4 linked regions of the Schizosaccharomyces pombe genome follow. Changing the gene in region 1 together with any one later gene gives a genetic interaction. Each region holds a gene or a part of one and is shown on either strand. Other genes may lie near its edges.

Evidence for each region.
Region 2: mutations in mms19 (region 1) and set3 together harm fitness more than expected from each alone (negative genetic interaction), as found in Schizosaccharomyces pombe (2 studies listed by BioGRID).
Region 3: mutations in mms19 (region 1) and swd2 together harm fitness more than expected from each alone (negative genetic interaction), as found in Schizosaccharomyces pombe (2 studies listed by BioGRID).
Region 4: of mms19 (region 1) and dcr1, changing one suppresses a phenotype caused by changing the other (phenotypic suppression), as found in Schizosaccharomyces pombe (2 studies listed by BioGRID, with this or other methods).

What each region holds. Positions count from the first base shown.
Region 1 is NC_003424.3:3,855,870-3,864,005, forward strand, and holds mms19 (TFIIH regulator Mms19 ), read left to right. Parts: upstream 1-2,348; 5' UTR 2,349-2,553; coding exon 2,554-3,022; exon of another isoform or gene 3,023-3,065; coding exon 3,066-3,208; exon of another isoform or gene 3,209-3,254; coding exon 3,255-3,358; exon of another isoform or gene 3,359-3,403; coding exon 3,404-5,695; exon of another isoform or gene 5,696-5,761; coding exon 5,762-5,810; 3' UTR 5,811-5,849; downstream 5,850-8,136. Other genes in the region: protein Sil1, read right to left, coding at 5,850-6,866; signal peptidase subunit Spc2, read right to left, coding at 7,132-7,635. UniProt on the Schizosaccharomyces pombe protein: Key component of the cytosolic iron-sulfur protein assembly (CIA) machinery that mediates the incorporation of iron-sulfur cluster into apoproteins specifically involved in DNA metabolism and genomic integrity.
Region 2 is NC_003424.3:5,038,328-5,046,371, reverse strand, and holds set3 (putative histone H3 lysine methyltransferase Set3), read left to right. Parts: upstream 1-3,627; 5' UTR 3,628-3,890; coding exon 3,891-6,470; 3' UTR 6,471-6,826; downstream 6,827-8,044. Other genes in the region: ribosome biogenesis protein rlp24, read left to right, coding at 1,700-1,704, 1,755-1,893, 2,141-2,575; etp1 (monooxygenase-ferredoxin fusion protein), read left to right, coding at 7,269-8,044. UniProt on the Schizosaccharomyces pombe protein: Transcriptional regulator that acts via the formation of large multiprotein complexes that modify and/or remodel the chromatin. Required for both gene activation and repression.
Region 3 is NC_003423.3:1,780,054-1,785,793, reverse strand, and holds swd2 (Set1C complex subunit Swd2.1), read left to right. Parts: upstream 1-2,574; 5' UTR 2,575-2,637; coding exon 2,638-2,813; intron 2,814-2,873; coding exon 2,874-3,138; intron 3,139-3,186; coding exon 3,187-3,819; 3' UTR 3,820-3,849; downstream 3,850-5,740. Other genes in the region: ubiquitin hydrolase Ubp4, read left to right, coding at 46-1,575; wbp4 (WW domain-binding protein 4), read right to left, coding at 1,788-2,408, 2,482-2,535; SPOM_SPBC18H10.05 (WD repeat-containing protein), read right to left, coding at 4,020-5,740. UniProt on the Schizosaccharomyces pombe protein: The Set1 complex specifically methylates 'Lys-4' of histone H3.
Region 4 is NC_003421.2:1,502,815-1,513,025, reverse strand, and holds dcr1 (dicer), read left to right. Parts: upstream 1-2,468; 5' UTR 2,469-2,735; coding exon 2,736-6,860; 3' UTR 6,861-6,880; coding exon of another isoform or gene 6,881-7,964; 3' UTR 7,965-8,026; downstream 8,027-10,211. Other genes in the region: ER to Golgi ceramide transport protein, lipocalin superfamily Svf1, read left to right, coding at 324-1,443; septin Spn6, read right to left, coding at 6,881-7,964, 8,027-8,085; Prp19 complex subunit Prp45, read right to left, coding at 8,570-8,662, 8,711-10,211. UniProt on the Schizosaccharomyces pombe protein: Required for G1 arrest and mating in response to nitrogen starvation. Ago1 regulation of cytokinesis and cell cycle checkpoints occurs downstream of dcr1. Required, indirectly, for regulated hyperphosphorylation of cdc2.

The sequences.
Region 1 (8,136 bases):
TTTGTCAACTATAGCATCGGTGAGTTCTGGCAATTCAGACATAAATATCATAAAAACTTTATCTTTTGCCTCTAAGTATGGTAAAATGCTGTCTATTACTTTAAGGGCCCATTTTTCATATTGTGGACCTTCCCACTTAACATCCTCATATTCATGACAATCCGGATTTTCAAGCATTAGTCGATCATTATACCATTCCTCGGATAACCAGTTCAATATTAAATTTGTACTGGAACGCCAGTTAGATGCAACGTAAGTAAAAAGCTGCCCTCGAACAAATGAAGACAAAGTGAAAGAAGCATCTCCAGATTCCTCACCAGACGTTACAGGCTGATAATTCAATAAGCCTCGCGTACAAAGTCGTGGTAAGAGAATTGCCCAGTGACGCTTATCCCATACCGTATTATCCACATTTTCCAACGTTAAATTTTGAAGGTTAGAAGAAGAAACTATGCTTCTTTCAAATTGAGGAGCATAATCAAATAATCTGGATAAGGCACCGTGAAAGTATTCTAGAATAGCCATCGGGGACAGCGAATCTGGAGTGGGTAATTCAAACGCATCAGTAACGACATTGGAGGGAGCACTTCCCTCTAGTCGAGCTGCTTCACGTTCTACACTAGCATTGATAGTCTGAACATCTACCTCAGGCGGTTCATAATCCTCGTCCTCGTCTTCATCAACTTGTTGATCAAGACCAAGGGATTCAGGCTCAGAGAGAGAGCGCACTCTCTCTCTCAACATATTAATTTGCTGATGAAAGTAGTTTTTGTCTATCTTAAGAAGAGAAGTAAGTACAATTTCAGTAGCCACTTCAACCGGAATTGAAGTTACATCAAAATTTGCAAGAGGATTTATAGCAGTTTGTGAAGCAAATATGCTGATTAAGGGATTATTTTGCAAACCATCGTGAGAGCTAAGTTGGGGTTGCATTCTTTCTACAAGACTTTGTACAGCAGAAGACTTAACACGCTTAGAGGCAGCACTAATATTTCCCTCATATTGCCGTTTCTTCAAACTTTCATCGACTTTGGTATGATAAATTTGTCCGGAAAGATAAGCGTGAATTTTTTCGACGGAAGAAGAAGATGCACCTGTACTCTTAGCTAAATGAAGTAAAATAAGTTTTAGATTTTTTTCAATACACCGTATAGCTAACTTGCTTTCGTTCGACAGCTCAATTTCATCTTTTGGATTCGGAAGATGAAATTCTAACAAGCTTCCTATGATTTTTGGTGCTAGTTCCTTCCGTCGCTTCACCAAAACCGGTAAGATATTCAAAACGCTAGTAATGTAAAGGACATTCAAAGAATCCGAGAAAAGGATGGAAAATATTTTTTCAATTAAGTCATTTGCTTCTATTCTGAGGATATTTGAATTGATAAAAGGATGATGTGTGGGAACCTTAGAAAGAGACACGTCCGATTTAGTTACAAGACGGGGATCTCGAATCCCAGGCACTTGCGTTAAAATTACACAAGAAATAAATTTAATACAAGAAATTAAAAGAGGCTTGTTCCCTTTGTCAAAGTCATTAATGATTTCGTTTTTTAGCTTCGTTAAAGTGTCCCAGGTAGATGAATCGTTAGGTGAAGTACAACAGTGCAGAAATACTAGTGGGTAGATTGTGCAAGAACAAGATATAACGTCTTTTTTAACTTCTTCATTATCTACTGCGTACAGAGAAACAATTGTATCTAGACAAGTTACAGCTAAATCCAATTTCTGCTCAAATTTAACATTTTTGCTCGAAAATCCAAACCAGAGGAAATTTGCCATCCATTTTTTATACCTTATATCAGAATAGTTTGCCACAGAAAGAATGTTTCTCACGATTTCTGGAAAAAGGCTTTGATCAGTTTTAACAATATCTCGAGCCTGGTTTAAACGAGTAAGATGTTCGTCTGTCTCCGAAACTTCCATACCAGGACTAACAGAGAATTTAAGATGATAATTATATTAAATACTTATATGCTTATTGATCAATTTCTCAAGTAAATGTTAAAACTTTGCATCCTCTTTTTACTTTGCTGTCGGTTCAAATTTTGGTAAGAGAGGGAATACATAGCGCAGTGGTTTAAGGATCGTTAATATGTAGTGACTATATATAACGATGGAATAAAGGTTTTTGTGTATGATTGTAAAATCTTGAAGTAGAGATTTGCTAAAAAGAAACAAATTTTTAAAAAAAGAAAATAATATCCGATCTTTCTTCTAATTTCTTTAATTCATGGATTTAAGCAATTTAATTTACACAAATTCTTATCAGATTATCTAAATACTTTAATTAGTTTAACTTCGCTTCGGTAAAGAAAGCATACATAGCAAATGACATTTTGCAATTTGCCATTGTTAACCACATTTTCTGAGAGACGTTTCAACGATCTACTGAGGAAGAGTGCCGTCTACCTACTAGCTAGAAGAAAGTCAGCTTCGAAAAAGAGGACAAGGTTTCTAATCTCTGCTTCTCAATTTTTGAAATTCTGTTTTTTCTTATAGTGTTTATTGTATAGAAAATTGTTAGCATAATAGTACATATTAAATTTGAGGAAGATGAGCTCGAATTTAGTGGCTTTATATTTATTTTCTATTGATAGAAGTCAGGATGAGGCAAACGACGTTGTAGATCGAATTGTCGAAGAAATTGTCACTGACAGAATGGGGATTGTCGATTTGGTTACTTCAATTGGAGAGTATTTAACTGACAACAATATCTCTGTTAGAGCAAAAGCAGTTTTATTACTGTCACAAACTTTAGGTGAGCTTCCTAAAGATAGACTTCCTGCGAAACATGTATCTGTACTTCTTCAGTTTTACTTGAGTCGTTTGGATGATGAAGTTACAATGAAGGAGAATGCGTTAGGTATTGGAGCTCTTCTAAACATGCAAAACTTCCCTGCTCAAAAGATTGTGGATGTTTGTAAGGCTCTCTTCAGTTCCACTGACATGCCAAAATATGCTCAAGCAACTCGTTTAAACATTTTAAAAGTATTTGAAACCATTATAGATAATTATCTTTTCTGTAAGGATCTTTTTGGAGAGTCATCAATTAACTTAGTTCTCAGTCATCTCTTCACAAACTCGCGATGCTTTCTTCTCTGGAATTTGTTCAACTTTTGCTGGTGAGAAAGACCCTCGTAATCTTATGCTGGTCTTTTCTATGCTTAAAAAAATACTTTCTACATTCCCCATTGACGGATTTGAACAGGTATGGATCTCATTGTTAATCGCCTAATGAAATTACTTACATGTAGCAATTCTTTGATATCACTTATTGTTATTTCCCGATCACTTTCCGTGCTCCGCCTGATGCCACCAATTTGGCTATTACTAGCGACGATCTTAAAATAGCTCTCCGGTAAGGCATCATGACATGTGAACTATTGCTAACCGTCCTTTGTAGAGAAACCTTGGTTGCTAACGACGCGTTTTCAAAATTACTTCTTCCTGCTTTATTTGAAAGGCTGAAGGCTTCAACTGTTCGCATAAAAATCGATGCATTAAACATTTATATAGAAGCTTGCAAAACTTGGCGCGTGGGTGCTTATTTATGGTCTGCTAAAGACTTTTGGGAATCTATTAAGCAAGAAATACTAAATTCGACAGATGCTGAACTTCAAAATTTGGCGCTTGGTGCACTCAATACTTTAGCTAGTAAATTTTATAAAGAGGAAGGGTTTTCATCTTCGTTCACAGAGTTTGTGGATATGATTTTGATCCAATTATCACAGCGTTTACTCGAAGATGTTAATGTTAAATCTTGCGGATCTTGTGCAGCTGTATTTGCTTCCTTGGCTTCTATCTCTGTGGAAACATTCAATTATTGTTCATGCAATTTTTTACCCAGTGTTCTCGATCTACCAATGGTAAATGAACCATTGGAGAAACAAAAAGGGATGCTAGTTTTTTTGGAATACGTCTATAAATGTTTGGTACTTTTATACGGAAAGTGGAGAAGCAAAAACCAGGCTGATATTGACAACCCGCTACTTGTTTACAAAGACAAGCAACTTAGTTTTGTATCAGGCTCCTTGATGGGAACAGCCAAAGATGAAACTGAAATACGCATGTTGGCTTTAAAGGTTATTTTTTTAATGGCTTCGATCAAGAACTTCCTAACAGAGAGTGAATTAACCATGGTACTTCAATTTTTGGATGACATAGCATTTGACTTTTCCGATCCTATTAAGAAAAAGGCAACAGAATGTTTGAAGGATTTAGGGTTACTAAAGCCCGACTTTTTACTTTTGACTTCATTTCCTTTCGCATTTTCAAAATTAACTGATGATGTTACTGCTAAGTCATCTTCTGAAGAAACTTTTAAGCAATATTTATCGGTACTAGTCTCAATATCTGAAGAAAGGAGTTTGTTTAAGGCCCTTGTCATCAGACTTGTTGAGATGTTGAAAGATCAATTTAAATCCAAGGAAATGAGTGTTGATCTTGTCGAATCAATTGTTCAAAGTTTATCCGTTGCCTTTAAGGAAAGAAATGATCGAAATGAACAAGAGATTCCATTCTTTTTTGAAGAACTACTGAAGCAACTTTTTACCCTTTGTTTCGCTAATTGCGAGTCAATGAATGTGAGATGCCTTATTTATGTATCACAGACAATAAATGAGATAGTGAGAGTAAACCATTTTGAATTTCAAGAAAAGTTTGTTGGTCAATTATGGAAATTATATATGGAGAATTCCAATTCCGACTTAATTGAAACTGAAGGTTGTGAAAAAGCTGCAGAAAGATTTACGCTTGCAGCATCTTTAAGTGATCAGAAATTTTTAAATTTAGTGGTATTATTACAGGGTGGTCTTAATGGATTGAGTAAAAAATTACATTTTATCGAAAAGTTGAATATTGAGTTGTTGAATTTACTCATAAATGTTGTTTTTGTTACGGAAAGTCCTGGCGTTAAAATTAGCGCTTTACGTCTCATATCCTCGCTTATTAACAAATGTGAAAAAGACGAAGATATATCAAGTTTTATATCTTCGAAGGGAGTCACGTCTTTGTGGGATAAAGTTTATACTGGAACTCCAAAGGAATCTGAAGCTGCACTCGATGTGCTGGCGTGGGTTGACAAAGCTTTGGTCTCTAGAAAGCATAGCGAGGGCATTCCTTTGGCTTTTAAATTATTGGATACTTTGAATTTACAAAATGTCGGAGATTCTTCGGTCAAGGCACTTTCAATAATTATCAAAGACGATCCTGCGTTGTCCAAGGAGAATTCATATGTCGAAAAGCTGTTATACAAACAACGTTTTTACGCTAGTGTTAGTCCTAAGATTTTAGAACACATTTCAACTGCTACTGGAGGAGAAAAGTCTTTGTATTTAATGCTTCTTTCTAATGTGATAGGAAATGTGCCAAAAGAAATTGTAATTCCAGATATGCCATCTATCCTTCCACTTCTACTTCAATGTCTTTCACTGTCTGATATTAGTGTTAAACTTTCGACGTTGAACGTTATACATACTTCGGTTAAAGAATTGACTTCATTATTGACGGAATATCTTGATACTTTAATTCCTTCGCTTTTGGCAATCCCTAAGGATATGAATAATCCAACTGTTGTTCGTCTTTTAGCCCTTAAGTGTCTTGGAAGTCTGCCAGAGTTTACTCCTACCACGAATTTACAACTATTTAGAGATAAAGTAATTCGTGGACTCATACCATGCTTGGATGATCCTAAAAGGTAAGAACCATTCATTTTTAGTGAAAAGAATAACTGTTAACTACAAAATGCTAATGAATAATATAGGGTTGTAAGGACTGAAGCAAGTCGAACTCGTCATAAGTGGTATATATAAAGAGAGATTTTGATAAGTCATTTTTGAAAAATAAAAACGTTAAATATTGTATTTTTTAGGCCAAGGAAGAGATAAAGCTTCTTTTATAATTAAATTAAATTCAGTAGCAAGATCTGGATCTTGATAAATTAATTTATTTTTGTACGCCAAATTTTTATCGTTTAACCATTCATAAAAGTTAACTTCGGGACAACTCTCACTAACACTTTGAATTGTTGATACGGTGTTAAGTAGAACCTCGAGCGTTGAAATTGAGCGTAAATGCCAATTATTCATCAAGTACTTTTGAAAGATGCTACACCAAGTCGAAAATACCCACTCTATTGGGATAACTTTAGAAGCTTTGCTAAAATTGACATTTTCCAACGAACGAGCAATATTTTCAAAGATGATGGACAACCTACTTAGCAGTTTCTCCTGAAAAGCAGAAGGAATATCAATATGGCTGTTTCTCGACCAAAAATCATACAACTGAAGAAGAATAGCCGATCCTAAATCTTTACTAATGAAAGCCTCAGATAAAGGAAAAGATTGGACAGATTTACTTAATAGGAAAAGTTTCTTCAGTAATGTAACTGGGTGGTTTTCCTGCCGTAAAGTGTTCACAATTTTTGGCATAATATTCATTTCTAAAGCCTTTTTCTGAGCTATGAAATTATTGCTAAGCGCTGATGCCAAAACAACAGACGACATTGAACGAATCGTATTTGGATAGTCTTTCCCATCCATCAAAACAAAAAGTTGATCGCACAGAGGCTGTTCAAGTACATCCTGACCAAATTTTATATCATGAGCCAAATCACGCATTGTTTCTAAAGACGACAACACAATGCTTGGGTCTGAAGTATCAGGATTTAAAATTACAGAAGATGACTGATCGAACAACTGTCTATCGTAAAGTGAAACAGATGAATCTGAGCTTACAGTCCTCACATTCAAAAAAAGGTAACATATTGCAAGAAATAGATTCGACAAAGAGAATGTTAAAGTAAAAAAAATTCTGTAAATTTGAGTATTTCTTTTCTTTTTAGACGAGTTTCCCAGAATCGAAAACATTGAACCGATTAATCTCCAATTTTTTCACTCCTGTTAGAGAGTGGTTTATGGTAGGATAGATTTCAAGAAAAAAAAATCCATAGCATGATTAGGCAATTGCCGCTGGTAAATGGAAAACGTAGCAATAAAATTCATGTTAAAAAATAAGAATACGATACGGACGTTGTGGCAGGCATGGAAGCCTTCTAACGAAAATGTAGTAATTGAGTATTTCGCTTTTTGGCAACAACTCAAATTGAGAATTGATTAAAAAAATTGAGCTCAATCAGTTTTCAATTTGAGACAAGTACTTTGAAATTTCCGCCTCAAAAGTTGCACTTGATATTTGGCCATCTTCTTCAAAAATGTGAGCAACAGGAACCGACCATTCAAGTTGAACAGCATTTCTGTTTTTGAGTACGGTAAATTTAGTAGTGATTAGAGGCTTATTTTTCAAAGGTAAAAAGGTATCCGCAGAAATTTTGATGTGTCTTTCTTTTTTCGTAGCAACATAAACAGTACTACCCTTGACTACAGAAGACCAAAATGTGAGCAAGCAGGAAGCTAGGAAATATAAAGGTAAAAGATACTTTAAGTAAGATTTTAAAACACCAAAACCATAAACATACTCAATGCCAAATGCGAGGCCGGCGGGTATAATGCAAGCTATTGCGATCAGCAAACGAATATCTTCAAATACAAAGGATTGCTTATAACCATTTTTGTTAAAATGGTTTGTTAATTCTTTATCAAATTTAGATTTGAAATCTGAAACGTTATATTTTGGCATTTTTACTATTAGCTTAATTATGGTAGAGGAAGCAAGGCTGTAGTTACTGATGATCAGATATGCGGTTTCGTTGATACGATGGCATGATGATTTTTTAAAATTAAGTAACCTAAAAGATGTTTTAATATTTAATATAAATGCCTGAGAGCAAAAACATGAACTCCGCTACTGGAACGAAAGCAAAACAGTCGATTACTAAGTACTTTATAATACTATCATGCTCTTTCAAATACAACGAGCCATAAATTTGAAATAATAGCCAAATAAAAAATATATATGGATTCTCAATAGAAATTGGCGGAAGGGTTTCATAACAAATTAATTTGGTACAAAATATCATGCTCATTTCCTTGTCTCGATAATAATATCAGAATTGCAATCGCAATGACTGTTGAAAAGGATTATGAAATGGAAAATGTTGTTTGAATGTAGCAGTACTTGGCGTTTAGTAAAAAAATAGAGGAGTACAATATTGATATTTCCTTTCGCAAAACCTGTTTG
Region 2 (8,044 bases), 1.2 Mb from region 1:
ATTGAAGCGTATCGTTTTAATTTTTTTTTATTTCCCTTCTAAGAATGATTTTTTAGGATTGTTATTAAGATGCCTGTTTATGTGGAAGCAGGTTCGGGTGAAGTTCATTTTTTTTCGGTGCATATTAAGGGAATACTTAATGATCAAAGGATCTATTATTTCTATATTTTAATCTACGTTCACCAGGCTTTTTTGGTGTAATGTTGGGCTTGTATGGCGTTGAATCAACTAATTTTGGAACAAATTGTGCTTAGTTTTTTTGGTTCCGAACTATGACTTAATTGTGTACAGTGGTAATTACACAATTCCAAAATTCGTTGAATTGGCTGACATTAGTAGTAAGGTATTTTGCTTTACTAAGTAATTGTCATCTTGCTTAAGGCTATTCTATCTCCAATTGTAATGTCTTCGATTTTGTTCCTCTCCTTATTTTTTTTTTATTTTTCTCTTTTGCTGGATAGACGTTTATTCAGTTAGGTTGAAGTTCAGTTTTACGAATGTATAATGGTGTATGTTAGAATCTAGTTAAAGACATATTCTTTTAAACGCAAAGGAATTTAAAAAAAAGAAAAGACAAAGTACAATAGCAGTATTATTGATGCCCTCCTTGAGGGTCGTTTTGTAATAGATCTTCAGATGAAGATGTATTTGGATACTGTCGTATACGATAATTTGTTTTAGATATAACGATAATGACATAAAAATTTTTTAACTATGGTTTTGGAAACCAGTTTATCGATTTTTATTTTACTTGTGATTCTCTTCATTCATTTGTCTTGTGGGTCTTTGCCACAAATATTCGATATAATGTTTATAAAAACTAAATATGTAAAAAAATAACCTGTACATTCATTTTATTAAAAAAAGTAATTATAATAAATATTCTTTAACTTATGGTACACATAATATTGTTATCATGTATGGTCTTGATGGAGAAAAGGTAAATAACTAAACTAAAAAATTTAAAACGAAGTAAAAAATATCGGTAAGTACGAAAAATAGATAAAATTTAATAAAAAAAGGAAAAAAAAAAAAACAATTACATTTTCTCAAAAATCACTTGAAAACTAAAGACTCTTCTTGTTTTGTAATACTAGACTTATTCAATTTGACTAAGTAAAACACACTTGTATAATAAATAGTATATTTTATTTGTAATGATAACAAGGTCTCGTGGCCCAATGGTTAAGGCGCTTGACTACGGATCAAGAGATTCCAGGTTCGACTCCTGGCGGGATCGTTTTTTCAAAAGCTCAAATATCGTGAATACTGTAAAATACCTTTTAAGATCGTGCGTCTATGTATCCTATTGCAATCCAGTAAACTGCATATGCATAGAGGGATTGTGTTTTTAAAAGCAATTAACCTCGGTAATATTATGTATTTATTTTTTTTGGCGTAGACACGCCTTTGATAAAGAAGCGATATGAGTTAACAAAAATTGAAGATAAAATTTATTATTAATAGGTTCCTAAGATTGCGTCCGAGACCATTCACTCGAAACTTCACCGAGATGGTATTTCATTAAATAACGCAACCTAACGATATATCATAAATTAGATAAGGCATATTTGGAATTCGCAAAACGCAGCTTAAGTAGAAGCTCGCATCTCAAATATGTGCGTTGTAGGGAGCGCGAATTTTTACCTGCTCTTAGCCAACTTGAACATACAAGGACGGGAAAGAATTTAGGGGGAATATGAGGTTTGTAGAGCTAAATGCCTTCAAAGTATTTATTACTAACGGAAATTTAGGGTACATACTTGCTATTTCTGCTCGGGTCCTGTTTACCCAGGACATGGAATAATGTTTGTTAGAAATGACTCCAAGGTCTTTCGTTTCTGTCGCAGCAAGTGCCATAAGAACTTCAAAATGAAGCGCAATCCTCGTAAGGTATGTTTTTTTTATAATAAAGGAATGCAAAAACGTTATACAGACTTGGTTGAGGAAGATGATTGATTTTGAAAGAGGAAAAATTTTTTTCTGTTGCCTTGTTTTGAAATGATACTTTTCTTCTTCAAATTCTACCTTAAATGGTGTACTTTTTCCTTTATATGCCCATGAACGAAGAAAGTTTTCTATTGTTTTTTTAAATGTTTTGCTTCCACCTATATGTATGTATACTAACTTCAATGTCTAGGTTGCTTGGACCAAAGCGTACCGTAAGGCACATGGAAAGGAAATGGTTTATGACACAGCTCTCGCAGTTACCGCAGCTCGTAGAAATGTTCCTGTTCGTTACGACCGTAATGTCATTGCAACTACTTTGAATGCCATGAAACGGGTTAGCCAAGTTCATGCCAAGAGAGAGCGTCTGTTTTACAAAAAGAGATTGGCTGGCAAACGTGCCCAAGAGCTTCAAGAAGCTCAAAAACTCATTGCTCAAAATGTTCCTCAATTTACCGAACCCGAAGGTGAGGTTGAAACTGCTGAGGTACAAGAACCCCAAATTGTTTCCGACGAGGAGTATACCATGGAAGAAGAAGTTGCAGAACCTGTCAAGATTCCCGTCCTCGCCAAAAAACGCAAAAACAAGAAATCTCGAAACTCATCTTCAGCCATGCAAATGGACTAAACACTCTTCTTCCTACAAAAATGTAACTCTCGATCTTCCGTTGGTTGCGTCCCGCTTCGTTCTTTTATTTTATTTTATTTTATTGTTTTATTCCTTTCAAATTTACAAAATAGTAGAAGAGAAGACATTTTTGGGGAGTGGTTTTCTTACACTTTCGAACTCTTTAGACACTTCGAAAACGTGTTTTTTAAAATTTATCTTGCATATCTAAAGTTGGCATTTGGTTTCGGCTTCTCTTCTCGTTTGGTTACTTCTTTGGACTTGCATGCTACGTGCAGATTAATATGGTTAATAATGGATTTTCGTGTATACATACTTGTAAACGAACCTATCTTCAGTTTGGAGCTTGTACAAGATACAACAGTCTAACAGTTTGAAAAATGGTTGTTTAGGAATAAATTGGTTTATATTATTAGTTTCGTTTATCACAAATGCCTCTTCGAAATGTAAAATTCTACTAGAACGATAGAACATTGCTTCATTATTTGGATTCAATTCTCCATGAGGTATATTTAGTAAGTCATAAAACAGTAAAGACTTTGTCATTTATGCTGGTTTCCTTGCATATACATTTCTCTATAGTTGACAAGCCTATTCAAGTCTCATATCACTGTGGAACTCATGAAAACAGATCCCTCTCCTTGTAAAGCTGTTTAAACCCTACAGTCCAATGCTAAAGGTTGTTAATTCTTTAGAGTTGCGAGTCCGTTATTGACGTTTTCGATTGCTTGCGCACACTCACTAACACCATACATTAGCTAACTACTGACACATTGCACCTGCCGTTTATCTCAACTCATTGTCTTAGTAGATGATTTTTTTTTTTCAAAATGGTTTCTTAGCAAGACTCATTAAAAACTCCTTGACAGTTTTATTACCTTCTAAAATATGTAAAATGAGAAGTTTCATAGAGAAATGAACTATTCTTCAACATCTTCTTCTCTTTGTTTTTACCGAGGAGACGTTAGACTGCGGAAACGTGGTTTATGGGACGTGTGTTTACACTCGGTGGATGGAAATGTTGAAGAGCGGAATAATCGCGACGTCGTATCAACTACCAAAATCGCGTATGCAAATTGAAAACAGAGTATTTGTTCAACTTACATGGTTTTTCGAGTATTTATATACTAGATTCCTAGTTTTAGGAGAGTTCAGATAATCGAGATAGCCATTGGTATAGTTGGGGCTAAAATCTTTGCTTTCATAAGAAAGCAGTAATTTCCAAGGTTAAATTGCTCCTGTACAGAAATTAGCGTTTATGAAATACTTCTTTACTTTGTTATAAGTTGATCGTTTTCTCTTTGGTTAAGTTAGCATGTGGAAAATACGATGCGTTTGTCCATTCGAGGATGATGACGGATTCACCATCCAATGCGAAAGTTGCGAGGTATGGCAACACGCCGTTTGTGTAAACATAGATGCAAATAATGTTCCTGAAAAATATTTTTGTGAACAATGCCAACCTCGTCCTATCGATGCCGACAAGGCGCATAAAATTCAACTAGCTAGGTTACAGCGCGAAGAAGAGCAGTCTAGGATATTATCGCGATCCCGTTCTTCCAACAACAAGAGAAGAACTAGTTTTGGCAAAAATGGTGCTAGTCCTACACACTCTGCGTCACCGAGACAAGGCAATAACACAGGCGCTAATGGCGCTTTATTTTCACAGTCTACCAACTCTTCGAACTCGGGGTCTTATCGTAACAGTGTGACTGGTGCAACATTGCCCAATGCTCATGCTCCACATTCTCAGAATCGCAGACGAAGATCCAACCACCTTAACAACCCACCAGAGGCTCCAATCACCGAGGCTTCTAACGAATATGTGTATTCGTTTCACTTGGAATACGTCCCTTTGGAATCAAACACCTTTTCTGCATCTGCGCTTGAGTATTCTAAGAATTTGGATTTAAAGAATTTAGATGAATCCGAAGTTTTAATGGATGGATGCCAAGTCGTACCTATATCATCTTCAAAGTTTTGTTGTAGTCGCTTTGGTTTGGTGTCAACTTGCGAAATTCCTCCAAATACACCCATTATGGAGGTGAAAGGAAGGGTTTGTACGCAGAATGAATACAAAAGTGATCCCAAAAACCAGTACAATATTTTGGGGGCTCCTAAGCCACATGTCTTTTTTGACTCAAATTCTCAGCTTGTTGTTGACTCACGGGTTGCTGGTTCAAAAGCGAGGTTTGCGCGTAAAGGTTGTCAGTCAAACTCCGTCGTTTCAAGTGTTTACATGAATGGGTCTAACAGTGTTCCTCGATTTATCCTCTATTCAACTACTCACATAGCTCCGGAAACAGAGATTATTGGGGATTGGACTCTCGATATTTCCCATCCATTTCGCCAGTTTGCGCCTGGTATGTCGCGACCCTCCTTCAATATGGAAGAGTTGGAATTACTTTCAGAAGTGCTTTCTACCTTCCTGTCGTTTAACGAATGTGCCTCACAGGATAAGAAAAACTGTGTTTTTTCCAGAGTTACTAAATATATTAAAGCGGCCCGCCGCGCTTCTACTGCAAACCGTGTCAGTGTAGCAAAAGACCGTTTGTCTCTGACACCTTCCTCAACCCCTTCTACCCCTAGCCCTGCTGAATCATTACCGCAACCTTCAAACCCCACATCGGTCTATGCCAAATCCTTGAAAGAGTTTTGGTTAGATAAGTACCGTCTTAGTATTTTGCAAAAATGGCCTGCTGTTAAGTCATTACCCACAGAAAGTGTAGGAATCGATGTAGTCATGGAGCCGAAGTTACAGCCATCTGTGAAGGAGAAAAAACCAACTAAAGATTTACAATCTCCACTACCCTCTGTTGAGGAAGATTCCTCTAATAGGGACAAGAAAACTGATATTGCTGATTTACACACTGATTCTAAGGTGGGCATTGCAGACGTCTTATCGCCCATTTCACCCGATGCTGCATTACAATCCGATGGTCCATTGAAAAAAGCAAAGGAACCTGAAGAATCCTCGATAACCCCTACAACTCCTCCATCTTTTAATGTTGGAGAATCACTAAGTAGGCGATCAGCCTCACCATTACAACATCCTCGAACAAGCCCAGATATGCTGGACAAAACTTCTCCTTGCAAAAGAGGATTAGGAACTATTACGACAGTCCACAAAAAGCATGGTTCTGTTGATCATTTGCCGTCAGTTAAAAGACGCCGTAGCATTGCAAATGATTTTCATGGCAAACCTGATTATAATAAAAGATCGCTATCTATCGAAAGGAAGCCGGAAGCCTTTAAGACTAAAGGTGACAGACCACATAAGGTCCATCCTTCTTTCCATAGAAATTCAGATTCAAAATTGAAACTCGAGCCGTCGAGTAAAGAAAAGAGTGGGTCCATGTTTTTTAATACGTTAAGGACTGTAAAAGATAAATCGCATGTTCACGACACTCAAAGGTCTTCTGACGTTAACTTTTCTAGACAGAATGGCACTCGATCCCATTCACCTTCGGTTAGTCCTGTCGGGTTTTCGTTTGATAAATCTCCTGTAACTACGCCTCCTTTGCCGACAGCTCCAGCACCAGTTATAACGAGTCGCCATGCTTTGGTAAACAACCAATTTCCTACGAACAATCCAAACATTTTGGACCACAAAGCCAACAACGGTGATGATATCTCGAATGCGTTAAATACTTCAAGAAGCGAAAACAAGCCCAATTCGAATCTGGTCCAAGGAAGTGTAGTCAAGCCTAGTAACACTTCAGCCTCTGCTCTTCCTACCTCAGCACCGAAGAAGCTATCTCTTTCTGAGTATCGACAACGACGTCAACAAAACATTCTGCATCAACAGTCGAAGGATAATCAAGCACATGGCGATACAGCTAGGCCTCACACCGTTCCTGCTGCTACAGTTTCTAACCCTTCATTTACGCGATAAAAATTCTAGAAGATGTTGTAAATCTTGAAACCATATAAATGTGTGGATGATTTTTTTTATTGGATATGGTATACGAACAAGTTTTCACGATTCTAAAGTTGGTACGATGACTGCATCTTTTTACCTTCATATGTATTTTCATTTCATTTTTTTATTATGATGATTGGTACTCGGAGCATATTTTACTGTCACCTGCTTCTGCATTCTTTTCTTCTTCGTTTGTAAATATTTAATGACTAAGTGTTTGGGCGAAAACTCTAGTTCCTTTTTTTTTTTTTAGTTTCTTTTGATTCAGAGCAACGAACCCTCAGTCGTTGCATTTTTCTGTTCCTAATTTGCACGTTTAGAACATTGTACAATATAATAATATTAATTTATAGCAGTTAAATGATTTATGTTTGTCATATAGAAGTTTCGGTTCGTAAGATTATAAGAACTAACTATTTAAGATGTCAGCTATTTCCGTATGCGACATGTACTAGATTAAATAACTTTTTGGATACGCAAATGAAGCTAGTACATTTTGAGTATTAAGTATCATAAATATAAACATCGATTCAAATATGCTACGTGCAGATTTCAGCGAATTGTCGCATCAAATTAAACTATTCATCGACGATCCACTCAGATCTTGTATATATCAAACGGCCTACGTTAATATAGCTTGTCTACTTATAGCGACTCTGAAAGTGCGCCGTTAGATTATTGTGGTATAGAACCGGGAGGTTAGGTACCATTCCTCTCTCTCCATGAACCTACTTTTTTAAGCGAAACGCAAACAAAAGTAAACAATTACCAATGAACATTTCACGTTCATCAGGTCTGATGAGACAGTTCCTGCTTCAGCCCTTACGGAAAGGCTGCGACATTTCTTGCCTTGGAAGGTCAAGTTGGAGAATGAGCAGGAGCTTCTCTGGATCGAGTGTTTTAAATGAAATTAATTTGTCACGGACTAAGAATTTATTTTTGAATGATTGTAAGTTTAATAAAAATTCATTTGAAAAGTTTTTTGCTCGCCGGCTGAGTAACTCAGTCGCTCCTACACCAGGTGGCATCCTACAGGAAACCGAAAAAATTCCGAGTAAAAAGGTCGCCTTTTGGCTGCTTGGATCTTCTGCTCTTGTTCTTGCAATTGTTGTTGTAGGTGGCATTACTAGACTAACTGAATCCGGGTTAAGTATTACTGAATGGAAGCCCATCACTGGCGTAATTCCTCCTCTTACTGATGAACAATGGAACCAAGAATTTGAGCTTTACAAAAAATCACCAGAGTTTGAGAAGCTGAACAGCCATATGACAGTGGATGAGTTTAAAAACATATTTTTCTGGGAGTGGTTTCATCGTGTCCTCGGTAGAGGAATCGGCTTGACAATCCTTCTTCCTTCCATATACATGATTGTGACTAAAAGGGCATCTCCTTGGCTAAGCAAGCGACTAATCGGCCTTACGGGACTCGTTGGACTTCAAGGAGTCATCGGTTGGTGGATGGTCAAGAGTGGTCTTTCAGAAGAGCTCTTCAGTGATGGTTCTCATCCGCGTGTTAGTCATTATCGCTTGGCTACTCATTTAGCCGC
Region 3 (5,740 bases), on another chromosome or scaffold:
TTTTTTGTTCAAGTTACAATCTTGAATACTAACATGTCCTTTTAGTTAGCAATTCAAGCCGTTTCCAAAGCCTTTACTATAAAAAGCAAATTAGCGGTGAAGCATTATTTGCCTGTAATTCAAATCTCTGACGCTCTTTCCCTATCAAAAAAATCATCACTTAAAGTTCTTTTTCTTAATTTCTATTCCCAAGAGTCTTCAAAGGGTTATGTTTTTTCGAAGCACACGATTGCCATCCCAATATCCTGTTTGCAATCGATGGATTCTTCAAAAATATATGACTTTTTAAAATCCGCACCTTTTCATCCAAGCATGGTTATTTGTTACAGTTTGGAAAGATACTTCGAAGACGTTTCTTTGGCTTACAAGCTTTACTCGATGTTACGTTCGTTGAAGTTGGATCCTCATTTCATGGAATTGGCGAACCCTAAGAAAGTTGATAGTTCTTTATCGTATGAAAATTATCAGCCTATAGGTTTAACGAATTTGGGTAATACTTGTTACATGAATTGTGTCCTGCAATGTCTTTTTGCGTGTAAGGACTTGACTATTCCTATGTTACAGGGGAGAGGATTGCTTCAAAATATCAATACCAAAAATCCATTGGGTACCGGTGGAAAAATCACATCTGCTTTCTTTTCCTTGCTTCAAAGTGTCTTATTAAACCATGGTCAGAGATCAATATCTCCAAGGAATTTTTTAGAAATTGTACAGTCATTGAATAGAGATTTCTCCATCGATGGCCAATGCGATGCTCAAGAATTTTTAAATTTCTTTCTTGATAAACTTCATGAAGATTTGAACTCCAATGCATCTCGGTCTCCGATAGCACCGTTGACGGAAGATCAATTAAGTGCCAGAGAAGAACTCCCATTGTCCCACTTTTCACACATTGAATGGAACTTGCATCTCCGGTCTAACAAGAGTATTGTGGTCAACAATTTTGTAGGTCAACTTTGCAGTCGTACTCAATGTATGACATGTGGCCGCACATCTACTACTTTTGCTCCCTTCACATCGCTTGCGATACCGATTGACGATGTCTCCCATGTAGTAAGCCTACAAGAATGCTTATTAAAATTTTCAGCTCCTGAACTCTTGCAAGGGCATGATGGATGGCATTGTCCCGTGTGCAAGGTTCAAAGGTCGGCAAAAAAAGTAATTATGATTTCGAAACTACCTGAATATTTGATCATACAAATTCAGAGATTTAAAATATCCGTAATGGGTCGTAAAAAAATTGATACACCACTTGGATTGAGCTTACAGATTCCAAGTAAAATGCTGGTACCACCGAGTTTCCAATCGGGAATTGGTTATATTCCTAGCAATTATAACCTGTTTGCATTTATCTGTCATTATGGCCAGCTCGAAAATGGACATTATATATCTGATGTACTTTTTAATAATGAATGGTGCCATATTGATGACTCAATTGTTCGAACAGTGGGCGGTATTACTGACTTGAGAGAAGATTTCTCCTCTTCCTACATTCTTTTTTATAAACGCTCAAGTCTGTTGGAGGAGTTTGAAGATAAGTGTCCCAAAATGACTTTGAAAAGAAATGTTAAATAAAACAAAATAAAAAAAGGAAAAATGTTTTCAATAAACCTCAAATATAGTTATTGAATAAATGTTCAACTTAGCATTCATAACCGATATGAATACTTACTTAATGCTGATTACCCAACACAAAAGCTACTCTCGTTATGTTGAACAGAATGCAGGAATTGGATACAAAATTTTTTCATCCTAGAATTTTTTTTAAACAAAGATGGTTTTTTTCTTCAAGATTGATCATATTCTTTTAAGGAAGATTTTGTTCTTAACTTTCCAGACTTTTTCTTTTTAAACACCACTTTGTTTTCATTTGATTCCTTGCTTTCTAGCGATTTGTTTCCCTCGTTTTCAGCTAACTTAGGTACTTTATCTAAGTTTTTTGGTTTTACCCGAAAATGAAATGAAGATCTTTCTTCTTTTTCGATGATCTCTCTGTTTCTTTTCAAAGAGGTCCCTGGTAGAGACTCATTTTTATTAGTAGTTGTTTCCTTGGTTTCTTCATTTTCTTCTTGCTTTGCTAGCAATGTAGGAATATAGCTGGTATGAGTAGTAGAGATGGTGTCAGTCTCCGTAGAACTTGTAGGAATATCCCAATCATCCAAAGTAGCTTTTTTTTTAGAGGGACGTAATTTTGGATGCTCCTTTTTTGGTTTCTCATACGATGCTAGTTCAGATGACACCGCTGAAGCAGTGGTAGCAGTAGCTGATTTTGGTATAGATAAATTCTTCTCAAGTTCCTGCCTTAAAAGGTTGGAACGATGAATATCATCCATTACTTTTTTAATAGCATCCTGATGTTTATAAGTTTGCTCATGGCTCCGTCGCGCAAATGGTGTATCTTTCACGAACTGTACTGTTAGTAGGATTCTATTAATTTCACCACTTTAGAAATAATTTTTGGATGTTATAGAAAAAACTTACTATTTGGCAATATTTACAATAATATTTTGGAATACTTTTCCAGTAATCAGCCATTCTGAATATTAATAGGAGATACGCACTAAATACATACTTAAAACTTATTTACCCATATATTTTTCTCAGGAAACCCACCTTTTAGCATACCGTTATTTAGTAATGACAACAGTTTCAATTACTTTTGACTTGTTGTCGTCTATGCAACCAAGAAAATGGCTGAAAAATCAGAATTTTGTTGGTGAAATTACCTCTCTCAGTTTTGACGACAGTGGAGAGTTGTGCTTGGCGTCGTGTACTGATGATACTTTACAACTGTATAACTGCATTTCTGGAAAGTAAGTACTTCTTAAATTCACTTTTGAAACCTGTTTGGCTAACTGACCATGAACTTCTAGATTTGTGAAATCACTTGCAAGCAAAAAGTACGGAGCACATTTAGGTCGGTTTACTCATCATTCAAATTCATTAATACATGCTTCCACAAAGGAAGACAATACCGTTCGTTATTTAGACGTTGTGACAAATCGGTATCTTCGATATTTTCCTGGCCATAAGCAAACAGTGACTTCAATCGATGTATCACCAGCAGATGAAACTTTTTTAAGCGCTTCTTTAGATAATACTATTCGCCTTTGGGACCTTCGGTCTCCAAATTGCCAGGTATGAGTATAACAATTACTGATAATCAAACTAACTAGGAATACGTAGGGTTTGCTCAATGTTAGTTCACCCGTTGTTGCAGCTTTTGATGCTACAGGACTAATCTTTGCCTCAGTTAGTGAAAGAAAATACAAAATTTCTCTTTATAACATTAAATCATTTGATGCTCGCCCATTTCAAGACATTCCTTTAACATTCCTGCCCCCTCATGTCCGCATTGCAAATGTGGAATTCAGTACTGATGGTAAATATCTATTGCTAACAACTGGAAATGATTTTCATTACGTTATAGACGCTTATAGTGGAAGTGAATTATTAAGAGTTCCTTCAAAGGTTAGCACAAAAACCCAAGATGGAAATTTGACTTATTATGCTTCAGCTTGCATGTCTCCAGATAGTAAATTTCTTTTTACTTCATATGATAATGAGCATCTTTGCATGTATCAACTACCAGAACTGAAACAAACTGTTAACTCGGATCACATTGTTAATTCATTCACCGAAATGGGCCTAGCATCAACTACTCCGACCAGCAATAGTCATTCAACAGAGAACCCGCTAGCTATCATTCCTTCTTCAACATCTAAAAACCTTTTACCAGAAACACCTTCTATTGTTCGCTTTAATCCACGCTTCTCTCAATTAGTTACAGCACATTCTGGAGTAATTTTCTGGACGTAAAATTGTTTTTGTGTCTTAACAAACCACGAAAAAATGAATATTATATTATACTATTATTAAAAACAATTTCATAAAAAAACTTCATAACTATTATTTAAAAGGGGGAAAAAATGAGTCCTCTATTTTAAATGACACCTGAATGACTTAGAAGACTTAAACAAAATAAAAAAAGGTAAAGTAATATTAGTTTTGAATCGAGATTAGGTTCGTAATAAACGCTTCACAAAGTGTCCAAATTTTGAGTTTCTAAATCCATGATGGGAATTCCCCAAATCATAATCAACACACAAGACAATAGTCATACCTGCCATGTTGGTAGCAATTATTATATCAATCGGATGTACAGGAGGTGTTCCATATGATCTGTGACTATGAGGTTTTACTAGATTGTATCCTTCTGCAATTAAACTGCGATCATGTTCCGACTCTTTAGCTTCGACAGCAGTCCTTGCTGGTGCAATGATGGTCGAAGTCAGTCTCTCACTACAAACCTTGAATGTTTCCGTGGGCAAATGGAGAATGACAGAGCGTTTTCTTGATGCATTGATGAGTACCTTGTTGGGAATATGCCATAAAACTACTTCATTAGTATCACTTCCACTAATGATATAACTGTTGTCTTCACTTAAACGAGAAAGTACTCTGCCATTAACACGATGAGCATCACTCAGTTTCAACACTAAAGCGTGAGTGACCGTGTTGTATAACCGGATAGCATTGTCATTAGTAGATACTAAAACAACGTTGTCGGATTTTGAATCGTTTGGAATGATAGATGCGCACTGTAATCCAGTGACTCGGCATTTTTTATTTCTTGAGGGAGAATGATGAATTAGCCATGAGGACACATATTGTAAATTTTTAGTTTCATATATTGCACATAATCCGTAGAACATGCCCACAACGATCGACTCACCGTCTGGATAAAAACAAATAGTAGAAACGACATATTCAAGTTCCGTCCAATGCAATATTTTATGGCGTAAAATGGACCATAACTGAATTTTGCAATCAAGGGAACCAGAAACAAAATAACGATCGTCGATCGGGTGAAATGCGACACATGTAACAATCTCATTGTGCCTGAAAACCGCCAAGGATTTGGTTGATTTTGGATGCCAAAGCCTAACGGTTCTATCCGCAGAGCTAGTTAATAAAAAATCATTTTTGCTCCATGAAATGGAAAGGACTTCTGCGTTGTGACCTACACATTCTAGGACAGGTTCAGGTTCAAAAATGCTAGAAGGGGTAAAGAAACGACCACAACTTTGAGGACCTTCTTTGAGTAAAGTTTCTCTTCTTTCTGGTGTTTCAATTACTTTCCACACACGAATTATTGCATCTTTACCAGCGGTGGCCAGATATTTTCCACTTTTGCTAATTTCGGAGGCCCACACAGATTCTTTAAATTGAGAAGGCTCCCATTGCATAATTCGCTTGCCAAAAATAGTTTTTGACTTTGGAGCATCAGCCGGACCTATAACTTGAGAAACGTAAAGTTTTTGATTAAGTGTGATCTCCTTTTTGGGCATTCGTTTACAATGGACGGGAACGTAATGTCTCTGTCTTTTACTATCGATCTCACCACGATCAATCAAGTTCAGTAGAGATCGATCATCATCTCTTCCGGCCAATTTTTCCGTGTTTGGTGAATTCGTCTCGGCATACGTAGTAGAGTCTCGGGGTGTGTTAACTAAGCTAGAATTGTCATCATTATATTCGGTGTTCATACCAGTGTCGTTTTCTACATCTTCATCTTGTTGAATTGTTAAAGGTCTGAAGGGTCTTTTTTGAGATCTTGTGGATAATCCACGTACAGGGGTGGCAGGCGGATGTTCATCGTCTGTTTCTAGTTTGTAGGCATCATTGCCTGTACCAGAATCACTGCCGTTCACAGACACTTCTCTAGAATGTACTGACA
Region 4 (10,211 bases), on another chromosome or scaffold:
AGAGGTTGTAAAAATATGGACCCCTAAAAACGGATCGAGTGTTTGTCCTATGAATAAAAACGGTAATATAATCGACTAATAATTGGATATCGATATGTATTCACTGACATTTCCTTCATGTTTTCGATTATTTTTTTTGTCTTAAAAATTTTTTTTTAAATTCGATGAGCAAAAAACAAAATTCTTTTTTCTTTTCCGTTTTTTTCATCTATCAGACATCTGCTATTTGAATCCATTTTTTTCGTGTTGTCTTACAAAACATTCAGTTGTCTATTCTAATAACTTGTTTTTACTGTTTTTTATTATTTCTAACTCGATTTTAGCATATCCTACTATACTGGCACAGCGGAACCCGTTTATGGTCCTGAGGCTATCCAACCCGTCACTGCATCCGTTCAGGGCATTAATCCTTTCCATAGGCTTGAAGCCGACGACTTCAAATGGAGCACTCCCTCTTCCAGCCATGTGGAAACGCAAGTCTTTTATATCAAGCCAAATGAGGGTGACTATATGTGCTTTGTTCAATTGATACATTCCAACTTGGGTTCTTGGACAACCACCGCTCAATCTACGTGTCGCATTTTCGATTTGAAGCATCCTGAAAACGATTTGTGGACTTCTACCAACATGGATCAATTTAGCTTTGAAAATGACAAAACCTCCTTTGTCGCCAAAAATTGCTCTGTCGTGTTGGAAGACCAAAAGCGTTACCGAATTCGTGCCTCCATCAACATGGACTCCATCATCGATATAACTGTCCATCAAGACGCTCCTCCTTTTAAAATCGGTGAAGATGGAAATTCTACTTATGGAACAGATCCTAGTAAGCCCTGGGCTTCCATGAAGCATACCTTTTGGCCTCGCACTCGTGTTGAAGGTAGCATCGTTGCAAGGGGTAGAGTTGTGGATGTCACTGGTCCCGGCATGTTTGTTCATGCACTCCAAAATGGCAAACCCCACCATCTTGCTTCATCTTGGGAGTTTGCCCTCTTGCAGCATAAAAAGTTTACCGCCATCATGATGCAGTTCAAGACACCCCCTAGCTATGGTTCTACTATTGTCAATATTGGTGGTATCGCTATGAAAGACAAAATTATTAGTGCAACTGTCGATAATACTATTGAGCACGTTGAGACCACACTCGATCCCGATACGGAATGGCATGAACCCACTCGCATTTCCTACGAATGGGACGGAAAGGATGCTGAAACATACACCGAAGATATTCATCTTTCAGTCGATGCTCCTTTGGGAAGACGTCTTCAACGCATCGACGTTCTTGCCGAGATACCATCTTGGCTTAAGGGTTTCGTCCATGGAGTCTCTGGAACGAAACCTTTCATCTACCAATATTTCTCACCTGTCAAATTTACACTGAAGATGGGTGACGAGGTTATTGAAGATGAAGCCACGCTTTTTAATGAGACTACTTTTATTTCATAAGCATCTTTTAACAAAAATATTCAAGCATAAATAATTCGATGCATTTTGGGCTTAAACAAAGAGTGAACGTGCATCCATCTTTTTTTCAGAGCTTTTCTATATTAAACTCTCTGGTTTTGTATTCTTTTTTTCCTTTTTTTTGTCCTGTTGTTTTTAATTTCGTGTCTTCGAATTTTTTTTTCATACTATTTTTCGTTTTATTAAAATAACTTCATATAGACTTATCACTTATACTCTGAACTTGATAGTTGTGCTGCTCTCATATTGAATATGATTCTTGTTAATGGTCTTGTGCTACAAGCTCTGAAATTCATTCGTTCTCTTGTTTGTGTACTAAATCGATCTTGTCATCCTAATACCTATACTGATGGACATGGGCAAGGCATCTGGCAAAATTGTGCATTCGCTTATGTTTATTGAAAGACTGCAGTCTGTGTAAACGAGCGAGAATGTTTTAAAATTTTTTAAAAATTTGAATACTTTTCATTTTAGAGACTTCAAATAATATTGTTTTCATCATTAAGTGGATACTAATTAGCAACTTCTCAACTTCTATTTTATTTAAAAAACTAATTCATTGTAAATGTTGTATTGGTTTTCTACGAAAGCAGTTTTTCTATTATTGATAATTTCGCTTTTACCACTTTATAATAAAAAAGTATTGTATGTTTAATGTTTTCTAATATTTTTTTAATAAGTTTTCCTATGTTCCGATAAGAGCAGGCAGTGAACGCGTAAACAGATATATATGTATGTATTTATTATTAAAATATTATGTAAATAATTCTTAAAAAACCGAATCATTCTAGCATAAAGCATTGGAAACCAGTAATTCAACGTAACTGAATTTCACGGATTTACAAGCAAGTCGTACAGTCCTTTCTTCATTCAATAATATTGATTTAATAATAATATGTATATGCAATTTTCCTTTTTTTTTTTTTTTTTTTTTTAAACATTTTAAAATAAAGCATAGGCGTTTAATCATTTTTTATTAAAGTGCGTAACTTATGTTGTAAAAAACTACCACCTACTTTTCTCTTAAAACACCAGAATCTATAAGTGTAATGATTCCCCTTAACAACGAATTTAGAAGCTATCAATAGTATTGCGTCTGTTTTTATCAATCTCACAAACAATTATAGGAAGTATTCTGCTCGTGTGATTGTTCTTTTTCTTCTGGTAAAGATGAACATATGCATGTTTATTTGAATAGCTTAGGATTCATTATTTTTTAAGAGACAAATTTCTCGTCAATTGAATGAAACCTTCCGCCTTTATTTTCTTTTTGAATGGATATTTCAAGTTTTCTACTTCCTCAACTTTTACGTAAATATCAACAAGATGTGTATAATATCGCGAGCAAGCAAAATACTTTACTTGTTATGAGAACGGGCGCTGGTAAGACATTACTTGCTGTGAAGTTGATAAAACAAAAGCTCGAGGAGCAAATTTTAATCCAAGAATCAAATCTTGAACATAAAAAAATATCAGTTTTTCTCGTCAACAAAGTCCCTTTGGTATTTCAACAAGCGGAATACATTCGATCTCAACTACCGGCTAAGGTTGGCATGTTTTATGGCGAATTATCTATAGAAATGAGCGAGCAGTTGTTGACTAATATTATATTGAAGTATAATGTGATTGTTATTACTGCAGATTTGTTCTATTTGTTTCTTGCAAGAGGTTTTCTTTCAATAAATGATTTGAATTTAATTATATTCGACGAATGTCATCATGCAATTGGAAATGATGCGTATGCTCGCATCATGAATGATTTTTATCACAGAGCCAAAGCAGTATTGTCAAAAAAACATTTCACCCTACCAAGAATTTTTGGTATGACTGCTTCACCATTCACTGGAAAAAAAGGAAACTTATACCATCGACTGTATCAATGGGAGCAATTATTTGATTCTAAAGCACACGTGGTTTCGGAAAACGAGCTAGCCGATTACTTCTGTCTTCCCGAAGAAAGCTATGTAATGTATTCCAATAAGTTGGTTGTGCCACCCTCGGATTCTATTATCAAGAAATGCGAGGAAACTCTTCAAGGATGCAAGTTAATTTCTCGGGCTGTTAAGACTGCTTTAGCAGAAACCATAGATATGGGTCTTTGGTTTGGGGAGCAAGTTTGGTTATATTTGGTTGATTTTGTGGAAACGAAAAGATTAAAAAAAAAGGCTTTAGGGAAGCAGTTGTCAGATGACGAGGAACTGGCAATTGACCGGTTAAAAATATTTGTTGAAGATTGGAAAAATAACAAATATTCAGACAATGGCCCTAGAATCCCTGTTTTTGATTCCACTGATGTTACTGATAAAGTCTTTAAACTCTTAGAATTGTTAAAGGCTACTTACCGCAAAAGTGATAGCGTTCGTACGGTTATTTTCGTTGAAAGAAAAGCTACGGCGTTTACTTTAAGTTTGTTTATGAAAACTCTTAATCTGCCTAACATCCGCGCTCATTCTTTTATAGGACATGGACCGTCCGATCAGGGTGAATTTTCTATGACATTCAGGAGGCAAAAAGATACCCTTCATAAGTTTAAGACTGGAAAATATAATGTTTTAATTGCTACTGCAGTTGCAGAAGAAGGTATCGATGTACCATCATGTAACTTAGTTATACGCTTCAATATTTGTCGGACTGTCACCCAGTATGTCCAATCTCGAGGTAGAGCGAGAGCAATGGCTTCAAAGTTTCTAATTTTTTTAAACACAGAAGAGTTGTTAATTCATGAACGCATTCTACACGAAGAAAAAAATCTTAAATTTGCCCTTTCAGAGCTCAGCAATTCGAATATTTTTGATTCATTGGTATGTGAGGAAAGAGAACGTGTGACTGATGATATCGTCTATGAAGTTGGCGAGACTGGTGCTTTACTCACAGGGTTGTATGCAGTTAGTCTGCTTTATAACTTTTGTAACACACTTTCAAGAGACGTATACACAAGATATTATCCCACTTTTACAGCTCAACCCTGTCTTTCAGGTTGGTATTGTTTTGAGGTAGAATTGCCAAAAGCCTGCAAAGTTCCAGCGGCTCAAGGATCTCCCGCTAAATCAATTAGGAAAGCCAAACAGAATGCTGCGTTCATCATGTGTTTGGATCTGATTCGTATGGGTCTTATAGACAAACATTTAAAACCCCTAGATTTTAGAAGAAAAATTGCCGACCTTGAAACTCTTGAGGAAGACGAGCTAAAAGATGAAGGTTATATCGAGACATATGAGCGCTATGTACCAAAAAGTTGGATGAAAGTTCCTGAAGATATTACACGTTGCTTCGTCTCTTTACTTTATACTGATGCTAATGAAGGAGACAATCATATATTCCATCCCTTAGTGTTTGTACAAGCTCATTCATTCCCCAAAATTGATAGCTTTATTCTTAATTCGACTGTTGGCCCCCGAGTTAAAATTGTTTTAGAAACGATTGAGGATAGTTTTAAGATCGATTCTCATCTGCTTGAGTTGTTAAAAAAATCAACTCGTTATCTACTTCAATTCGGTTTATCTACTTCTCTTGAGCAACAAATACCTACTCCTTACTGGCTTGCGCCTTTAAATTTGTCATGCACGGATTACCGGTTCTTAGAAAATCTGATAGATGTTGACACTATCCAAAATTTTTTTAAATTACCGGAACCTGTTCAAAATGTTACTGATTTGCAATCCGATACTGTATTATTAGTAAATCCACAGTCAATATATGAACAGTATGCTTTTGAGGGATTTGTCAATTCTGAATTTATGATTCCTGCTAAAAAGAAAGATAAGGCCCCTTCTGCCTTATGTAAGAAACTTCCTTTACGATTAAATTATTCACTTTGGGGCAATAGAGCTAAATCCATTCCCAAATCACAGCAAGTGCGCAGTTTTTATATCAATGACCTCTATATTCTCCCAGTCTCTAGACATTTGAAAAACAGCGCCTTGCTAATACCCTCCATACTGTACCATATTGAAAACTTATTGGTCGCCTCTTCTTTTATCGAACACTTTCGACTTGATTGTAAAATTGACACTGCTTGTCAGGCTTTAACATCTGCGGAATCACAATTGAATTTTGATTACGATCGTCTAGAGTTTTACGGAGACTGCTTTCTAAAATTGGGTGCTTCTATTACAGTTTTTTTGAAATTTCCTGATACTCAAGAGTACCAACTGCATTTTAATCGAAAGAAAATTATTAGCAACTGTAATTTGTATAAAGTAGCAATAGATTGTGAGTTGCCGAAGTATGCTCTCTCGACTCCCTTGGAAATCCGTCATTGGTGTCCATATGGTTTTCAGAAAAGCACATCGGATAAGTGCCGCTACGCCGTTTTACAGAAATTATCGGTTAAGAGGATAGCAGATATGGTCGAAGCTAGTATCGGTGCATGTCTTTTAGACAGTGGACTTGACTCAGCACTCAAGATCTGTAAATCTTTAAGCGTTGGTCTGCTGGATATCAGCAATTGGGATGAGTGGAACAATTATTTTGATTTAAATACATATGCGGATTCACTGAGAAATGTTCAATTCCCTTACTCCTCGTATATAGAGGAAACTATTGGATATTCATTTAAAAACAAGAAACTACTCCATTTGGCATTTATTCATCCTTCCATGATGTCTCAGCAAGGTATTTACGAAAACTATCAACAGTTGGAGTTTTTGGGTGATGCTGTATTGGATTACATTATCGTACAATACCTTTATAAAAAGTATCCTAACGCAACTTCTGGCGAATTAACTGATTACAAATCTTTTTATGTGTGTAACAAGAGTCTATCATACATTGGCTTTGTTTTGAATTTGCACAAATATATCCAACATGAAAGCGCAGCAATGTGTGATGCAATATTTGAATATCAAGAATTAATTGAAGCGTTCAGGGAGACTGCTTCAGAGAATCCGTGGTTCTGGTTTGAAATTGATTCACCAAAGTTCATTTCAGATACTTTAGAAGCTATGATATGTGCCATTTTTTTGGATTCTGGGTTTAGTTTACAATCTCTACAATTCGTTTTACCTCTTTTTCTTAATTCGTTAGGGGATGCGACACATACTAAGGCTAAAGGAGATATTGAACACAAGGTATACCAATTACTGAAAGATCAGGGATGTGAAGACTTCGGAACAAAGTGTGTCATCGAGGAGGTGAAATCCAGTCACAAAACATTGTTAAATACTGAACTCCATTTAACAAAGTATTATGGGTTTTCATTCTTCCGCCACGGGAATATTGTTGCTTACGGCAAATCCCGTAAAGTTGCCAATGCAAAGTATATTATGAAACAAAGACTTCTCAAATTGTTAGAGGATAAGTCTAACTTACTTTTGTATTCTTGTAATTGCAAATTTAGTAAGAAAAAGCCATCAGATGAGCAAATAAAAGGAGATGGAAAAGTTAAAAGTTTGACTTGAGACTTGAAATATACAGTATTTCATTTTTTATGACCGCGGCCCTTGTAACTTTTCAAACTTTCAATTTGGGTCTCCAAAGCACGGATCCTTTCGTGATATTCAGAAAGTTCCGAATTCAAAGCATCTCGAGTTTCAATCATTTTCTCTTCTTTGGCCTGAAAGAAGCTTTCAGTTTCATTAGTCATTTGTGTTATCTTTTGTTGAATCGCACGTTTCTCATTGTTCAAGCGTTCGTAATGCTCTTTTTTCAGCTTAGGAATGCCACTCTTTCGATTCGTAAGCTGCTCTCTACGATATCGTTCATAGATGTTGGTTTCAGTTGTATTTATAAGCTCGAGCATATGCCTATTAATTAGCAATTTCTTCAATTTTAAAAAATCACAATGTGTTTCTTCATATATTTCAGAGGTTCCCCATGGGTAACGACGCCCTTGCGATTTTTCCCCATCGTCTTTGCAAACTTCATTTACACTGGAAATGATAGCGTAAGGTAAGGATGAATCTAGTAATTCGGCAGTTTCGTAATCAGAATACTCTGTTGATGGATGGAAAACGTCGATTGATTGAGCTTCCAGGATCCTTCTAATTTTTTGCTTTATTTGTGTTAATTCGGGAGTTGTAAATGTATCTGCCTTTGCTATTACTGGCACAAGGTTTACATGGGTCGATAGCTCCTTCATAGCTAACACATCTAAAGGAAGCATTCCAAACGAAACTGGCGTAATAAAGTAGAGACAAACGTGGACTCTAGTGTCTTTCCTTGGTACACGGAGAGAGTTTTGATCATGAATTAGATACCTTTCGTGTTGTTCGTCTAAATATTCTGCAACCGTATTCCAGCAACTGGTATTGTCAATGAAATCACCGAACCCTGGGGTGTCGAGCACCGTAAGATTGATATGAAAACCATCTTCTTCAATTACGGCCTTATTCTTTTTAACTTCTAAGGTCTTTTTGGCTATGGTCTCCTTAGCCGTTTCATATGATTTTTCTGGTTGCAAAGAAGTAGCAAAAAGAGTATTGAAGAACGTTGTTTTTCCAGTACCTGAGGCTCCGCAAAGCATGATTGTTAAACCACATTCTTTTCTTTTTATTAAATTTTCTCTGTGGTATATTTGTTAATGAATGATTTATGAATTTATGACTAGATTGTAACGATAACATACCTTTTGGATGGTAGACTATCCAAATTTAATAATAATTGAAGGTTTTCAGTCAAAGACATCGTAAAAATTTATTTCTCGAACTATCTGTATTTTGCTCTTTAGTAGGTTCAGGTTTGTTTCAAACAGCGTTTATCAGCGAAATATAAACAAACAACCGAATGTCCAGTGATAAAAAGCACAGATAAATAAATAAATATGCCTCATCAAAAATTTTTAAATATACAAATTAAATTATCTACATAGAAGACTTTTAATTCTTTTTCACATCTTGTACCAAAATACTTTCATAATCCTGGTTTACCAGAGTTGAAACAAGAATACAAATAAAAACGATGCTCAAATTTACTAGCTCTTTAATCATTAGAAGAATAAACATTAATTTTTAAGACTAAATATGAACTTCTGTTGAATTAACTGCCTTGATCCAAAAAAAACACAAAACGTAAATTGTACTTTTTTTTATTTTTAAGACAGTCATATTCCAATGAATAAAACCATACAATAATGTACATTTTCTTTGACAGTGTCAAGGATCGAATAGAATTAAGTTTTCTTTGAAGAAACATTATTCAAAAAAGTATCTACACCAAAAGGATCAGCAATATCTTTCTCGAAAGTGACGGGGCCAGCACGAGACTAAGAAAAGTTAGTATTTAAGTAAAAGTATAAGATATTGAAACATACCTCTACGACTTCATCCGATCCTTTGAACTTTTTATGCGCATTTCCTAGTACATCATAACGACTTTCACTAGTAATACGTTCCAATTCTGCAGATGCATCAACTTGACGGGACAAAGTAGCACCCGGTCTATATAACGTTGATGAAGGTGCCGCCCGCCACGGTTTATCATACACATTGTAACTGTCTTCGTCTTGAAATCCGGATCCTAAGCCAGAAGCCTGATTAAATAATCTACTATCGATCATTGTATCGCTTGACATTGATGGTTTTGAAAGTCCTAAAGCAACCCTTTCAGCGACATCACGAGGTCGATCTTTTTCAGCAAGCTTAGCACGTTTTTCAGCACCCATTCGACTGAGACGAAGATCCTTTTCAGCTTGGCGTCTTCGCTCGCGGCGAAGTTCTTGACGACGGCGAAAAGCTTCTGAATCCTCATCTTCATTTTCTGACTCTGAATGATGCGAGAACGATCCAGCTCTGGAACGACTTCTTTCTTCAGAGGAGACAGAAGTAGAGCGGGGTTTTGCATGTGAAGGACCCGAAGAAGCCGCATTTCTACCCATACGATCTTCCCTTGCTTTTTGAGCAAGCATAAATAAACGTTGCTCCTTTTCCTGCTTTTCCTTTTCAGCCATCTTTTGGCGCATTATGGCACGATATCGGACCTCTTCACGAGCTTGACGCTCCACCGTGTACAATGCTTCAGAAAATTTGGCAAATCCATCGTTGATTTCAACATCATTAAGACCACGACCATCAGCGGCCAGCCGCTTATCCAATGGAATAGTGTAGCCTTTCGGATTTTTCCAATTAGAAATACTCGGAGGTATTTGCCAATCTTGTTGTTCTTGAGCAGAAACTTTTCGTGGAGGAGAATGCAAGACGGGAGGAGGAGGAGAAGGTGGTCCACGAGGAACCTTTTTGTGACGGAATTTTGGTGGTTCCATGGGATCCTGTTCAGCTGTGACCATTTTGATAATCCTCTGTTTGCTAAGTGCTTGTCCCATTTGATTGCTAGGAGTATATCGAATGTATACAGGATCGTCACGTTGTTGTACCACAGCACTTTTAGGTTGAGACTGAGCGATTTGTTTGGAAAGTATTTTTTGTAAGGCAAGCTTAGTTTTATTCGCTACTTCTTGCTTTTGCTCGTCAGACGGTTTCTCTAACGAAATTTCTCCCACACCTAGTCGTGCACGTAAGGGGATCAAATCTCGAAAGCTTGCCTGTACCAACTCTCCATGTTCGTGACCTTGTCGAGCAATGGCATTATAGTCAACAGCGCCCGAAGAAGTGACCTGTAGAGCCAATGTATTACCAGCAGATTTAGCTGACCTTTTTCTGCCCATATCCAAAGGATATTGTGCTACATGGATTTCGGGAAAAGCTCCACCATCGCCAAAGTCTTCAGGTGAAGAAGGAAACCATCCCTTTCTTTGTCCATAGGGAGGAATGTGAAATTTGACACCAATTTGTCTTTCATCTGCATGTGATGTTTCC